Nothobranchius furzeri: one gene and its partners. The protein of the gene in region 1 purifies or fractionates together with the protein of each later gene. This does not show direct contact. Links are inferred from orthologs where the notes say so. Each region holds a gene or a part of one and is shown on either strand. Other genes may lie near its edges.

Evidence for each region. Proteins that work in one complex are often made in the same cells at the same time.
Region 2: the proteins of epb41l3b (region 1) and numa1 purify together in Homo sapiens (affinity purification with mass spectrometry; 3 studies listed by BioGRID and IntAct, with this or other methods). This does not show direct contact. The link is inferred for Nothobranchius furzeri from reciprocal best matches to the Homo sapiens genes EPB41L3 and NUMA1.
Region 3: the proteins of epb41l3b (region 1) and clns1a purify together in Homo sapiens (affinity purification with mass spectrometry; 3 studies listed by BioGRID and IntAct, with this or other methods). This does not show direct contact. The link is inferred for Nothobranchius furzeri from reciprocal best matches to the Homo sapiens genes EPB41L3 and CLNS1A.
Region 4: the proteins of epb41l3b (region 1) and pnn purify together in Homo sapiens (co-immunoprecipitation; 3 studies listed by BioGRID and IntAct, with this or other methods). This does not show direct contact. The link is inferred for Nothobranchius furzeri from reciprocal best matches to the Homo sapiens genes EPB41L3 and PNN.

The regions. Positions count from the first base shown.
Region 1 is NC_091751.1:42,985,693-42,989,212, forward strand, and holds part of epb41l3b (band 4.1-like protein 3b), read right to left. Parts: intron 3,278-3,520; coding exon 3,081-3,277; intron 2,771-3,080; coding exon 2,189-2,770; intron 1,042-2,188; coding exon 988-1,041; intron 1-987. UniProt on the Homo sapiens protein: Tumor suppressor that inhibits cell proliferation and promotes apoptosis. Modulates the activity of protein arginine N-methyltransferases, including PRMT3 and PRMT5.
Region 2 is NC_091753.1:34,151,744-34,155,263, forward strand, and holds part of numa1 (nuclear mitotic apparatus protein 1), read left to right. Parts: coding exon 1-103; intron 104-853; coding exon 854-994; intron 995-1,079; coding exon 1,080-1,193; intron 1,194-1,277; coding exon 1,278-3,520. UniProt on the Homo sapiens protein: Microtubule (MT)-binding protein that plays a role in the formation and maintenance of the spindle poles and the alignement and the segregation of chromosomes during mitotic cell division.
Region 3 is NC_091753.1:60,563,795-60,567,314, forward strand, and holds part of clns1a (methylosome subunit pICln), read left to right. Parts: intron 1-432; coding exon 433-543; intron 544-651; coding exon 652-657; intron 658-733; coding exon 734-907; intron 908-3,520. UniProt on the Homo sapiens protein: Involved in both the assembly of spliceosomal snRNPs and the methylation of Sm proteins.
Region 4 is NC_091758.1:40,474,517-40,478,194, reverse strand, and holds the end of pnn (pinin), read right to left. Parts: intron 2,283-3,678; coding exon 2,144-2,282; intron 2,065-2,143; coding exon 842-2,064; 3' UTR 521-841; downstream 1-520. UniProt on the Homo sapiens protein: Transcriptional activator binding to the E-box 1 core sequence of the E-cadherin promoter gene; the core-binding sequence is 5'CAGGTG-3'. Capable of reversing CTBP1-mediated transcription repression.

The DNA of each region.
Region 1 (3,520 bases):
TCAGGGATCCGGAAATTCTCCATTTGGTTTCAGTGACGGGTACTTTTGCACGGCTGCAAAGTCCTGAGGCGATGGTGGCAGAGGGGTTTAGTGTGCAGTTGCGTCCTTGGGCAAGACACTTCGCCCACCTTTCCTGATGGTGTTGGCTGGAGGGAGTGCTCATCAAGCCTTGCTTTAGCCATCATCAAGCACCTTGGGGGGTGGGGGGCGGGGGTGCCATACAAGGCACTATTAAAATTCAAGCCATTTACCATATGTTTGCACATATGCCCAACGTAACCCCAACCAAACATGATACTTCTCACAGAAGTATTTTATGTATCAGTTCATCAAAAAACTAACTCAAGACTATTTAGCCCAGTGAGTTTTCAGCTTTAGCTATGTTTGCCTCCAGAGTCTTTGTAGTTTTGATGCTTATTTCTGTTTTATTAGTTCTCTGAATCAATATCTGAACATTTTGATGGTTTGGTTCCAGGTTTGGTTGTTTACTTTTGCTTGTATGAGTCCAGCTGTGAGCCACAAGTAAGGATTATTTCAAGAAGAACCAAGCGGGGTGGTCTTCACAACATCTTTTTGTTTATAGAAAGATCTTTTGAGATTTTATACCTCCCTGCTTTTCTTTTCTTCCTTTTTTACATTCGTCTCTACGTAGCAACGCTCTGATGGCTCTGGTTTGAAACCGGCCTCTAATGGAAATGCTAAACGTAAAAGAACACTAAGTCAAAGTCAATATTCTTAAATGCATTGGGACTAGATGCACCCCCCAAATGAACTCTGACCCTTTGAGTTGGCCCAATTTGATAATTTCAACACCTGCAGCCAGATTTCCTCAATTTTTAAAAAGAAAATGGCAGAAAAAAAGTTTATTTAGTGAGATAATTAAAAATGCTAAATAACCCAGTGGAGGTAAATATGCAGCTCTCAGAGTTCACAAACTTTTTAAAGTGACAACGAGTCTGTTCCCTTTATTAGACTGGATGTACAAACCTCTGTTGCCGTCATCTCTCCATCAAAGGCAAAGTCCGTATGCTCGCTGTCGGTCTGCGTTCACAGACCAAACCAAAAAAAAATAAAAATAAAAATCCAATTCGAAAGCAAGAGAAACAAGAAAGACCCAATATGTAAACATCTGAAAAGAAAAGTGCTTTTATCGTTAACACAGAGTCATTACCACAAATGGGACAGATGGAGATGCTCTGATTGTTGGGACTGTAAGCTGAACGCTATCACACAGCGGTACAGATACGACCAGAAACGCAACTAAAACATAAGGAGCAAAGACAGAGACTGGAGAAGCAAGCAAAACAGACTCAGAGGAAGTAGAAACCATCAGTCGGTCACTTTTCAACGAGATGGATCTGAATTAGCTGTAGCCTGGTAAACGTTAGTTTCCTTGACTTATTTTATGTGTTGTTTGCAGAACAAACTTCATTAAAAATGCTTGTTCTGATGATTTTGAGGCCGAACAGCAACCTGACTTTCAGGCCCTCCCCCTCCTGTCCCTTCATGCACTGTGGGTAATGTGGATGCGTCGCTGTCTCTCTGCATCACAGCTGGATCCTGTTACACAGCGATCACCTCATCTGATCACAACAATCCTGCTCACTGAAACGGTAAGAGGTCCTCTCAGTAAAAGTTTGATTGAAACAATTCATTTAATTTGTGGCAGGGAGCGATGCACAGAGACAGAGCAGAGATAAATACGGAAAAGGCTTTATGCAGCTGATGTTTCCAAGCTCCGACTGAACTGTATTAGTCATCATTTGGACATGATGGGGTAACACTGAGATGGGCTAGGCACAAAGCCATGGATTCACCGAAAGATTAGTCTCTAAATGAAGATAGGTGACTTCATTGAATCATGGTAAAATGTCAGTGAAGCTCATGCAAGTAAAGCGATCCCACCATTTGTGTGTAACCCTCTCTTTTGAGGTGAAACAGCCAATCAAAGATGAGACTTGCAGATGAAGCTGTGATGCTGGTGAAGGTGAGATCGTGACCGGGTCAGAGATGAGGTTCTGAAAGTAGGAGACTGACAGACACTGGGACACGCTGTCTCCAGGTCGGCTCTGAACTGGTGAAACGGTTACAGGACAGGATCAGGTGTTAACAGGTATAATGGACTGTCGTTCTGAGCCAGAGGTGGGTACTGGAACAAACAGGCGTACGCACACACACACACACACACCTCCTCTTCCTCTGAACTGTCATGGTCATGGTAGCCCTGGGCTATGGAGGCGGTCAGGGAGGCTGCCTTGGGCTCCAGGTAGCAGAGGCACAGCGCCAGAGGGAAGGAGAGGGTGAGAGCGTAGGGAACGGAGAAGGAGGTGGAGAGCAGGAAGAAGAAGATGAAAAGGAAGCAGGGGATGAGAGACGGGGATTTAATGGGGAGGAAGTTCTGTGCGCACTCAGGGAGGAAGCGCATCTCAGACAGATCGGGGAAGGTGAGGTAGCCGTCTTCATCCAGGATGGAGGACAAGTCGGGCAGGTGCAGGGAGAAGGAGAAGAGCGTGCCACCGCATTGCTTCCCCTGCTCCAGCCTCTGCTTGCGGGCTGAGAGCAACAGCGCCTGCTCCTCCAACAGGGCGGCTTTGCGGTCGGCGTGGGCCTGTAGCCGCCGGCAACCAGTGCTGCTCTTGACTGGACTGACGGACGAGGCCCGCTTACGAGCGCTCTCCCTGCGCCTGCGCCGCACTTTGCTGGATGAAGCGGGAGATGAAGGGAGCGAGAGCTCGGAGCGGAGGGGGTCGTCTGTGTACACATGAGAGCGCTGATGGAGGGAAATGTCAACGAGGAGACGACGTGTGTGTAAATGCAGAGAGGTGAAGTGGAAGGGGGGGTACGCATGAGCACACACACGAGTAAAGTGTGGGGTCAAAGGAAGGACAAGAAAAGAAAAGTGGATTAGTAAAGCGCACACAGGATGAGAAGCACAACAGCCTGTCTATGGCAGTGAGTTCAGCTGAAAGCAACTGGGAAATTCACGACCGCCGTTCAAGTGTTGAATACGAAAATAAACAAAAACAACAAGAAGTAACGGCTTAAAGAGGCAGCCATTTCCCCTTTGGACGTAGGTTTACCTTTGTGTCGAGTCTGAGGGGAGTGGCCGGTTCCGTCGTCTCTGTGGCATCTTTCTTAAAATCCTCCTGCTCCCCCTGCTCCTCTGCCTTTTTCTCTGTCGTTACCGTGGTGATGATGTCCCCCTTGGCAATGACTTTGGCAGCGCCGTCAGCGGTGCCGTCCTTGGCCGGGGTCTCGTGGTTCTCCATAATGGGTGCTGAAACATCGGTGGACAGAGACGAATGAGACAAACGTTGCTCTGTGATGTTTCACGGACGGTAAACGTCGGTGTGAAATGCTCGTTGGTAAATGTGAGCAGCTCTGAGTTGTTTCTGCACATGGGCGATATGGCATCAGCTTTCAGAAGCACAAACGCAATTTATGGCTCCAAAACCGAACAAAAGCCCTGTTCACACCTTCAACCAAAGGAAAAACCACCAATCCGCCCGTTTGGGTGTCT
Region 2 (3,520 bases), on another chromosome or scaffold:
TGATGAAATTTTAATCGAGAATAAAGAGCTGAAGAGTTCATCCGCACTGATGGAGAGGAAAGTAGACGAGCTTGCTGAGGAAAATGGGGCTCTCTCCTCTCGGGTAAGATAACACTGAGGAGATTTTCCCTGTAGGAAATTCAGTGATGACATTTATCTTATGCTCTCAGGGTTTATCTTTGTTTTGGAAATTTGCTTGTAATAAGCACATGGGAACAATGTCTCGCCCCATAATCGGAAGGTTGCAGGTTCGAGCCCCGCTCAGTCTGTCGCTGTCATTGTGTCCTTGGGCAAGACATTTAACCCACGTTGCCTGCTGGTGGTGGTCGGAAGGACTGGTGGCGCCAGTGCTCGGCAGCCTCGCCTCTGTCAGTGCGCCCCAGGGCAGCTGTGGCTACATTGTAGCTCATCCCCACCAGTGTGTGAATGTGTGTGTGAATGGGTGAATGACTGATTGTGTTGTAAAGCACCTTGGGGGGTTCCAGGACTCTAGAAGGCGCTATATCAAATACAGGTCATTTACCATTGGAGGATGTTGATGATGTAATTTAGGCTCTTGGATGTTAGAATCTTGAAGGGTCTCAGGGATATTTGTCAGGTTTGTATTTGTTCAAATCAGAGAAGCCATATTAATATATTCTTAAATGTCAGCTGATGTTTGGTAAGTGAGAAATTCCAAGAGGGCATCGATGACCAAGAATAGTAACAATGTTAGACATCGGTGAAGAAAAATGAAGCTCTGAAAATAAATGGATGCATAAAGAGTTAACTGCATGGTTTTATTCAAGATTTTAACATGTTTTAAAATCTGGTTGTCAACGTATTGTTGTACTGTTGTATTGTTGTATTTTAGGTGAGAGTGTTGTGTTCACAACTGGCCTCCTGCGAGGAAAAGGTTAACAGAATGACTCAAAGACACTTCTCCATCGAAGAGGATTGGGAAAGCAAATCCAGCCAACTAATCTCAGAACTGAAGGAAGCAACTGCACAGAAAGTAAATGTTTAGATTTTTTTAAATACATTTTAAATTAAAGGATTTGACTTGATCCAAGTGTTTAATAACTGCCTTTTTTGCCCAGGAGCTCCTGACTGAACAGATTCAAATCCTGCAAGGAAAGATATCCTGTTTAGAGGAAGAAATGAGCAAGGCCACCAAGGAGGAAGAAGGAGAGAATATGGGTCCTGTGATGGAGGTGAACTAGCTAGTCCAAGACTTTATTGAGTAGAAAAACAGTTTTCTGTGATGTTTACCAAATGTGTGCTTTTCCAATTTCCAGAGATCTTTGAACACTGAAATTCTCAGCCTGAGGAATGAGCTGGATTGCACACTTTCTTCTCTAAAGGAGGCAGAAATAGAAATTAAAAACTGCAATCTGAAGATGGCGGAGTACCAACAACAAATTAGCACACTACAGCAGCACAACGCTGCTTTTGAACAAGAAATATTTACACTAAAGGAGGAAAATAGAGAGAGCCGAGAGCTTCTTCGTCACACTGAGGAAAGGGTGGCCAGTCTTGAGACTGAGCTAGAGCAAGCAGAAGAGTTACACGAGGAGATCAAAGAAGTGAAGGAACAGGTTGAAAGGCTTCGTTCCTCTCTGAGAGCAGCTGAAGAAAGCTTACGATCCAAGGAAGAGCAGTTTGCAGAGCAGCAGCTACAGAGCTGTCAGCACCTGGAGGCCCTGCAGATTGAGGTGAACCGATTGAAGCAAGAGATCCAGACCAAAGAACATGAAGCTGATCTGTTAAAATCTGACCACTGTAAGGAGACAGAAGTCCTCAGTGAGGAGATCAAAGCTCTTAAAAATCAAGTGCAAAGTTTGATGGAGTCTCTGAAAACTGCCACAGAAGAACGGCAGATTCATGAGAACCTGTTGGCTCAGAAGGACATGGAAATGTCTCAGGTGAAGGACTCGTTTAAAAGTCAGATTGAAACCTCAGAGAAAGAGATCAGAAGACTTGGAGAAGAGATCCAGACCAAGGAGGACCAGCTGGTCTCCCTAAAGAAAGAGAGCTCCTCACATTCTGACGAGCTGCAGCAAGAAATCCAGAATCTGCAACAACAGGTGGTTCTGATGGGGGAATCTCTCAGGACCACTGAGGAAAAGGTTCAGACTCAACTAGCTTTGCTAAACGAGCAGGAGCAGGAGAACGCTCACCAGAAGGAGCTTCTACAGCAACACTTGTCTACTTCTGAAGAGCAGGTAAAGAACCTGAAGAACGAGATCCAGACCAAAGAACAACAGATGACCTTGATACAAAATCAAAGCTCAGAGCAAGCAGAAGAGTTACACCAGGAGATCAAAGAAGTGAAGGAACAGGTTGAAAGTCTTCGTTCCTCTCTGAGAGCAGCTGAAGAAAGCTTACGATCCAAGGAAGAGCAGTTTGCAGAGCAGCAGCTACAGAGCTGTCAGCACCTGGAGGCCCTGCAGATTGAGGTGAACCGATTGAAGCAAGAGATCCAGACCAAAGAACACGAAGCTGATCTGTTAAAATCTGACCACTGTAAGGAGACAGAAGTCCTCAGTGAGGAGATCAAAGCTCTTAAAAATCAAGTACAAAGTTTGACGGAGTCTCTGAAAACTGCCACAGAAGAACGGCAGATTAATGAGAACCTGTTGGCTCAGAAGGACTTGGAAATGTCTCAGGTGAAGGACTCATTTAACAGTAAGATTGAAACCTCAGAGAAAGAGATCAGAAGACTTGGAGAAGAGATCCAGACCAAGGAGGACCAGCTGGTCTCCCTAAAGAAAGAGAGCTCCTCACATTCTGATGAGCTGCAGCAAGAAATCCAGAATCTGCAACAACAGATGGTTCTGATGGGGGAATCTCTCAGGACCACTGAGGAAAAGGTTCAGACTCAACTAGCTTTGCTAAACGAGCAGGAGCAGGAGAACGCTCACCAGAAGGAGCTTCTACAGCAACAGTTGTCTACTTCTGAAGAGCAGGTAAAGAACCTGAAGAACGAGATCCAGACCAAAGAACATGAAGCTGATCTGTTAAAATCTGACCACTGTAAGGAGACAGAAGTCCTCAGTGGGGAGATCAAAGCTCTTAAAAATCAAGTACAAAGTTTGATGGAGTCTCTGAAAACTGCCACAGAAGAACGGCAGATTAAAGAGAACCTGTTGGCTCAGAAGGACTTGGAAATGTCTCAGGTGAAGGACTCATTTAACAGTAAGATTGAAACCTCAGAGCAAGAGATCAGAAGACTTGGAGAAGAGATCCAGACCAAGGAGGACCAGCTGGTCTCCCTAAAGGAAGAGAGCTCCTCACATTCTGACGAGCTGCAGCAAGAAATCCAGAATCTGCAACAACAGGTGGTTCTGATGGGGGAATCTCTCAGGACCACTGAGGAAAAGGTTCAGACTCAACTAGCTTTGCTAAACGAGCAGGAGCAGGAGAACGCTCACCAGAAGGAGCTTCTACAGCAACACTTGTCTACTTCTGAAGAGCAGGTAAAGAACCTGAAAAACGAGATCCAGACCAAAGAACAACAGATGACCTTGATACAAAATCA
Region 3 (3,520 bases), on another chromosome or scaffold:
CTGGTGCATAGGTGCCGGACTAAAGGGTACGAATCTAGTTGTGCTCCAGCTGCTGTGACCATCGTCAACAATCCGTAACTTGTCACGCAGTTTTAGGACTCGGGTATTTTATTAACGACATGTAATGTTATTTTATTGTGATGCACAAAGTTAAAAAACATTTTTATATGTTTAGTTAAAGGAGCGCTTCTGTGGTTTTGATGGTGGCCCTCTTGTGCCCTCTGGTGGCTAAATATATATTACACCCCTGCACAGCAGAAGAACGAGAGCTCAGCTGGAAGTTAACTGGGCAAAACTAAATGGTCTGCAGTTGTACGGCGCCATCTTGGGGTCTACAACCCCCCAAGGTGCTTGACAACATCTGGAGCCAGCTGTGATGGTGGCTGGTAAAAAGGAACGTGCCCTAACCCTGGTCCTTGGTTCTCCTCACAGTGGAGTCCATGTTCTCAGCCATGTGCGAGTGCCAGGCCCTGCACCCGGACCCAGAAGACGACGAATCTGATAACGACTTTGAGGGGGAGGAGTACGACGTGGAGGAGGCCGGTGGGTAACTGCCATTAGGAACGACTCACGATATTCAACCCTCAACTCATTCTGTTCTTTTTCTCTGGACACGTTTGGTTTTTCTCCTCGTGGACCTGACATCTGCAGAAGCAGGTGAACATCCAGATCTTACACACACTCTGAAAATATAAACTGTTTACCCACTGCTGCTGTTTCTGTACCCGGTTAGAGCACGGCCACGCCGACATACCCACCTTCTACACGTGTGACGAGGGTTTATCGGCGCTGACACAAGAGGGTCAAGCCACGCTGGAGAGGCTGGAGGGGATGCTGGCCCAGTCCGTGGCTCAGCAGTACCACATGGCTGGAGTCAGAACCGAAGAAACCAAGGCGGAGTTCGATGGTTTGTCAGCTTTCATTTTTCTGATGGATTCTTATTAGAAGTCCTTTTGTGACTAGTAGAAGATCCCAGATGGAAGCATCATCATAAGAGTTGAAGTAGAAAACAGCCAATCATCAGAAAGGGTTCATGTGTGGGAGGGTGCTCTACAGGTGCGGCTTACAGCGGTCTGCTCGTGCGTTTAGGGTAAAAACAAGTTTATTTGAGGTGATGATTTAGATGAATGTCATTTAAAACTGAAGGAAAGTTCATTATTCAGCTGTTTTACTTTGGTAAATGCTTTATTTATATAGTACCCTCTAGGGTTCTACCACCCCCACGGGTACTTTGGTGCTAGTGGCGGCATCTGGGGAAGGCTGGCAGCTATTTCCACCAGAAAGCGCGTCGTTTTCTCTGTTAACAGGCGTGAGCCGCCATTGTTCTCTCGGCGCGCCGTCACGTGATGACATCACATTCATAATCTTTATGGAACGTTTCTAAAATTTGGACTAGGGTTGTCATGGTAACCGGTGTAGCGGTAAACCCCGGTAAAAAAGTTGATAATAATAATAACCGTCTTGTTTTTAAAAAAACTATATCATCTCGGTGGATTACCGTGGCTGCGGCGTAGGCGCGGTGACCCTTACCAGCCACCGTACCATCTGCTGAAGTTGCCGGCGGCACATGCGCACTTTGTTGTTTACAACCAAAACTTTCTTGAAGCTAAAGCTGGAATAATGGTCAAAGGAGGAGACGGCAGCGCTCAGGACATTTATTATCCCTCAAAGAAGACAAAGTGGGAAGTACGGGCATGTTTTGGATATATGAAGAATGCCGAGGGACAGCTGATAGAAGACGGCTATCCTGTTTGCAGCACGTGCAGAAAAAGTGTCTGTGAAAGGCAGCAACGCTTCAATCTCATGACACATCTGCGTGACCATCACCCACAACTCTACAGTCAACGCAAGGCAAGCTAACGTTAGCGTTTTAGCTAAAATGCGTGATCCGAGGATTTGGGTTGAGGGAGAACGCAACGAGTCGCTATATAAAGCAGCCGCAGCGCCGCTACCTGCATGTAAACCGTGTCGCGGACACCCCCATGTTGAAATGACGCTATGCATTACGGGGCTCCCAGGGGCAGATAAGAGTTGGTCTCTCTCCCAGAATAATTATGAATTTAACAACGATTACTGCCTGATGACATTTTCCCACATCTGCAAAGCTCACTGGAAGGACCAGTACCTCATAAAACACACACACACACACACACACACACACACACACACACACACACACACACACACACGCTGTCTGCTCTCCTCCCATTGAGCAGCTGTGGCGAGAGCTCTGTGCAGAGATGTTGGCTGCTCAGAGGACACACACCGCTCTCTCGTTTCCCGCTCACCCGAACCCAATCAGTCCGTAGTATCACCTTGTCCCAGTCGGACTTCTGAGGAAGAGGTCTGAAAAAGTTGCCTGGTCCGGTACTGACCCTGGCCTGTAACCCAGTTCTGGTCCGGTACTGACCCTGGCGTGTAACCCAGTTCTGGTCCGGTACTGACCCTGGCGTGTAACCCAGTTCTGGTCCGGTACTGACCCTGGCCTGTAACCCAGTTCTGGTCCGGTACTGACCCTGGCCTGTAACCCAGTTCTGGTCCGGTACTGACCCTGGCGTGTAACCCAGTTCTGGTCCGGTACTGACCCTGGCCTGTAACCCAGTTCTGGTCCGGTACTGACCCTGGCCTGTAACCCAGTTCTGGTCCGGTACTGACCCTGGCCTGTAACCCAGTTCTGGTCCGGTACTGACCCTGGCCTGTAACCCAGTTCTGGTCCGGTACTGACCCTGGCCTGTAACCCAGTTCTGGTCCGGTACTGACCCTGGAACGCGGGTCTGCTGGTGGCAGGAGGACGTCAGTTGTAGCAGAGCCCTTCCAGCCAATCAGATAAGAGAAAGGCGGGGCCTCCCTAGAGGGTCTCACTTTTCCGTACACAGGTGCCCCCAACAGCGGGGTCAAGTGTCTTGCCCAAGGACACCACAGCTGATGGACTGAGCAGGACTTGGACCTGCAACCCTCCGGTTCTGCTGCGGGGACTCGGTCCTCCGCCACCGTCGCGTTTGTTTTTACTGAAGCATCCGTAAAAGAAACCCGTCTGACCTCTGAAGCGGTGCTTTTACCTGCGATGACCAGCAGCTCCATGGACCGGACCTGTCTCCGCAGCGACGAGTCCGGGACACACACCTGGGTGTTCAGCCAGACTCTGCAGGTGGATTCTGTTGTTCGTGCGGTTTTTACCGCAGGAGTTGGGAACTGTGGCCGAGGCGTTTATGACCTCCAGGTCTCTGCTTGCTGGCCTGAGCCGGTCCTTACTGACCCGGCTGCAGCTGCTCCAGAAAGCTGCTGCTCTGGACTGGTTACCAGTGAACCCCTGTCCTAAGATCCGGTCTCTGTCTGGAACAAGCCCACCTATAGCCTCACTGCTGACCCGCTATGTTTCTGCATGATCGCCACGTTCGGGTCAGAGCGACCTCCCAGTGGTTCTGCAGCCACAGCCCAAGTCCAGAGGTGATCGTGCCTTAGAGGTTCTGGTTCCTCGGCTTTGGAACCAAGACCCCCCAGAAATGAAACGGTCCCCATC
Region 4 (3,678 bases), on another chromosome or scaffold:
CAGCTGGATGATCTAGGAAGGTAGAAGATCAGGACGTCTGAGCAGGTGAGCGGACCTTCGGGACGTCCCGCTGTCACATTCCTCGTTCTTCACGAGCCATGATGCTCTTGGATGAAAACAGCCACCTCTTTAGATCTCAATCAGCTGATGTCGGCTTCACCGCCGCGCTGCTGAATCAGCAGCGCACGCATTTTCTCAACAGTAACGGAAACAGCGTTATGATAAAAGATGATAATTAATGACTCGTTACTGAAAAAAACTACTTTTAAGTAACGCCGTTATTCCCATCTCTGGTGAAAACATACATTTTAAATTTAATCTGTCGACTAATTTAACATTTTAAAACCGAAAGTCCAACCAGAACAAGGAAACACATTTATGCCAATACCTCAAGTTTATTTGAAGCAGATTACAGGATAAAAAATAAAAGTCAAATCAAAACATTTGAACAGATCACATCAGACATGAACCAGACTGGTAAACAGCTGATCAGCACGAACCATTTTTAACCAGACGACCGTTTCTATGCATCAACACTCTTAATGCTGGACAATCAGACTTAAAACAAAAGTAAAGAAACCCGGATTTAAAAACAAGCTCGGACTCGTTCACTAGAGACTCCCGTTAGAAATCACATTTTAGGTGCAGCAACAATCCACATTACAACGTAAAACACCCACTGCTCATTAGGGAAATCCGCTTGGCTTTGACCAACTACATCCAACGAGTCGCTTCATTCAAAACTTCCAACATCGAGAGGAAAAGTCGTTTACTTAAAAGAAATGTGATTAAAATGTAATCTCCCGTCTCAGCTGCAGTTTTGTTGTTCCAGAAGCTTAAATCAGTGTCTCTTGGCCTTCCTGTCTCCATCTTTATGCTCCCTATCACTCCGGGAAGACCTACCCTTCCCCTCATCGCTCCTCTTCCTCCTCTCCTTCACGTCCCTCCCACCTCCACTACTCCCGCCTTTTTTATGGTGACTTCTCTCATCTCCTTTCTTTGCATTTCTACCTCTATCCGATGGCCGACGCTTCCGCTTGCCGCCGTCTCGGCTGCGGCTGCTTGATGACGAGGAAGAAGAGGACGAGGACGATGAGGAGTGGCTGGATCCTGAGGAAGAAGAAGAGGAACTTCCACTGGAGGAGGATCCAGAAGAGGACGAGGAGCTGTTGCTTTGACTGCGGCGTTTCTTCTGCTCCTTTTCCTTCTTCCTCCCTCTGCCGTCCTTCTCACCCTCCTTCACAGGAGTGACAACAGGAAGGGCTCCAGAGGCCTCCTGAGAATCTGGCAGCTTTTGTGGGGCTTCCTCCCCCGACTCTCTTTCGACTGTCTGGCTCTCGTTGGTGGGCTCCTGGTCGTTGGACCCAGGAGTGGTGGGATTCTGGACAGGAGGAGTGGAGGCCACCTGTGGTTCTTGGGCCGGAGAAGCCGCCTCTGTGCCCCGGGACTGAACGGCTGGTTCTCCTGCAGCAAGCCCATCGCTGCGGTCTGGTGCTTCCTGGCTGCTCTCAGCTGTTTCAGATATCTGCACACCTGGAGTCTTTTCATCTTGGAGCTCCGCGAGCCGCTGCTGACTGACTGTTTCTACCTCTTTCTCCTCAACCACATCTTTCTCTGCCTTTTCCTCCACCTCCATCTCTTCTGACTGTGGACTTGTCTCCTTTTCTTCCTTCTCCTCATCCCCTTCCTCCCCCTTTTGCTCCCCCTTTTTCTCCTCTTTCCCCTCCTGACTTACCTCCATCTCTTCCTCCTCATCTTCTTCTATTTTCTTTAAAACTTCTTTCTCTTCTTCATTTACATTGCTAGTTCCTTCTCCCTCTGTTGTCTTTTTACTCTCATCCTTCTCTACCTCTACCTCTTCCTCTTCGTCCTCATCTTCGTCCATTCCCTTTTCACCCCTTTTACCTGTCCGCTTGTCTACCTGACCTGCTGGCTTACCCTCCGCTGGGCGCTCCGTCCTTGTAGCAATGTTGGCGTCCTGCTCGCGGTTCGGCTGTCGCCGGGGGCGTGACTCCATCTTGTTGAGGTGTTCGGCAAATGCCTCACGCCTCTCCTCAAAAACAGCTGATTGGAGAGAAAAGCTCAGGCGTTAGTGGCAGGGACTCGTTTGGAATAGTTGGCAAAAACACCAAACCCAGCTGACCATTTAGTTTCTTGGTGGATTCCTCGAGGAGTTTCTGAGTGGCCGAGCACATTTTCCCAGGCAGGAAGAAGAGGTGAGGCTTGGTCTTTGTGCGGATGTATTTCAGCAGGCGATTGTTGTGGCTGGTCCACTCCTCTTGCTGTTTGAGACACAAGAAAACTTATTTAACACCACCAGAAACCGTCTGTTGTTCCAGATGTTTCCAAAGCACCGTATTGATTAGGGTTGCACAATATATCGTAAATATATCGTTATCGCGATATCAGCATGCACAATATACATATCGCAATGAACGGTCAGCTCAAATGTTTGCTACACATGATGCGTTCTGTCAATCAAATGAAAGCATTATGTTTTTTTTTTTAACAACACAAATAGAGCTCTTCACCCATTTGGCCAATCAGGTGGGTTCTCATTGGTCGGATGCCCGCCCCCGAGGCGGACGGCACTTCATGTTGATGGTTAGGAAACACCCGAGTTAGCTTTGCCTCTTTCTGCTTTTCCCGGGATCCACCGTCTTTTCTTCATTTTCTTTTTCCCTTTCCTCATCTTTTACTTTTCTAATTTTTATGATTTTTTAAAAATTTCTTTGTTTTTGATTATTTTTGTTCGCGAGTTAAGTTTTTATTTATCGCAAGTAATATCGTCATCGCAATATTAATCATTACCGAATATCACAGGTTTACCTAATATCGTGCAGTATTGGCTTTAAGTTTTAACCATTTTTTAAATATGTGAGCGCTGGAGAGCAGAAACAGGGCTTTTCCTGACTACCATCCTGACCGTGCACCAACACATGCATACTCTGCATTCAACTGCCTCACTTTTATTAAAGGCCAAATATTTTTTCGTTAAGTGTTTTAATCTAAGCTTCTGTTAACAGAATATTCCGTTTGACGTTTCAAGTGAAACAAAACAGGTTTGCTGCTAAAAAATATGAAATAAAACAAAATGATCAGGCTGAAATAACACTCTTATTATGAAAGGCTCAATAATATGCATTAATTAGTGTTTAGTTCCTTTTCCCCATCTGATATTTACAGTTAAAATAATTTTAAATATTTGACCTACATTTAAGTAACATTTTAGGTTTGTATTAATAACACTCATCTTAGTCATAATAACACATAAATATATGCATTAAAATACAATGCATTTCATTAACATGCATCTGTGCTGGAAATGGTAATAACATTTAATTTCTGCTGCTAACAATGTAACGGTGGCATGTCTATTATGTACGGGACTTGGCAATAATCCAGATTAAATTATGTTCAAAGATAGAAGCGTTTCTGAATTATATACTACAACGGCCTGCCGTAGGCTTGTAGCAGTAATGTGACTCGTATCTACAGCGGTTCTGATCCGTAGCGCTGCAGGATGCAGAATAAACAGGATGGTGGGGACTTTTCATCCGCTTGTAGAGTTTAGTCTCTTAGTTTTACATCATCATATATTTATCCGTGCGCCACTTGATCGTGAGACTGCTACCCGTTAGCTTTAGCGTTAGCCAATCTGCGTGTAGCTGCACTTTT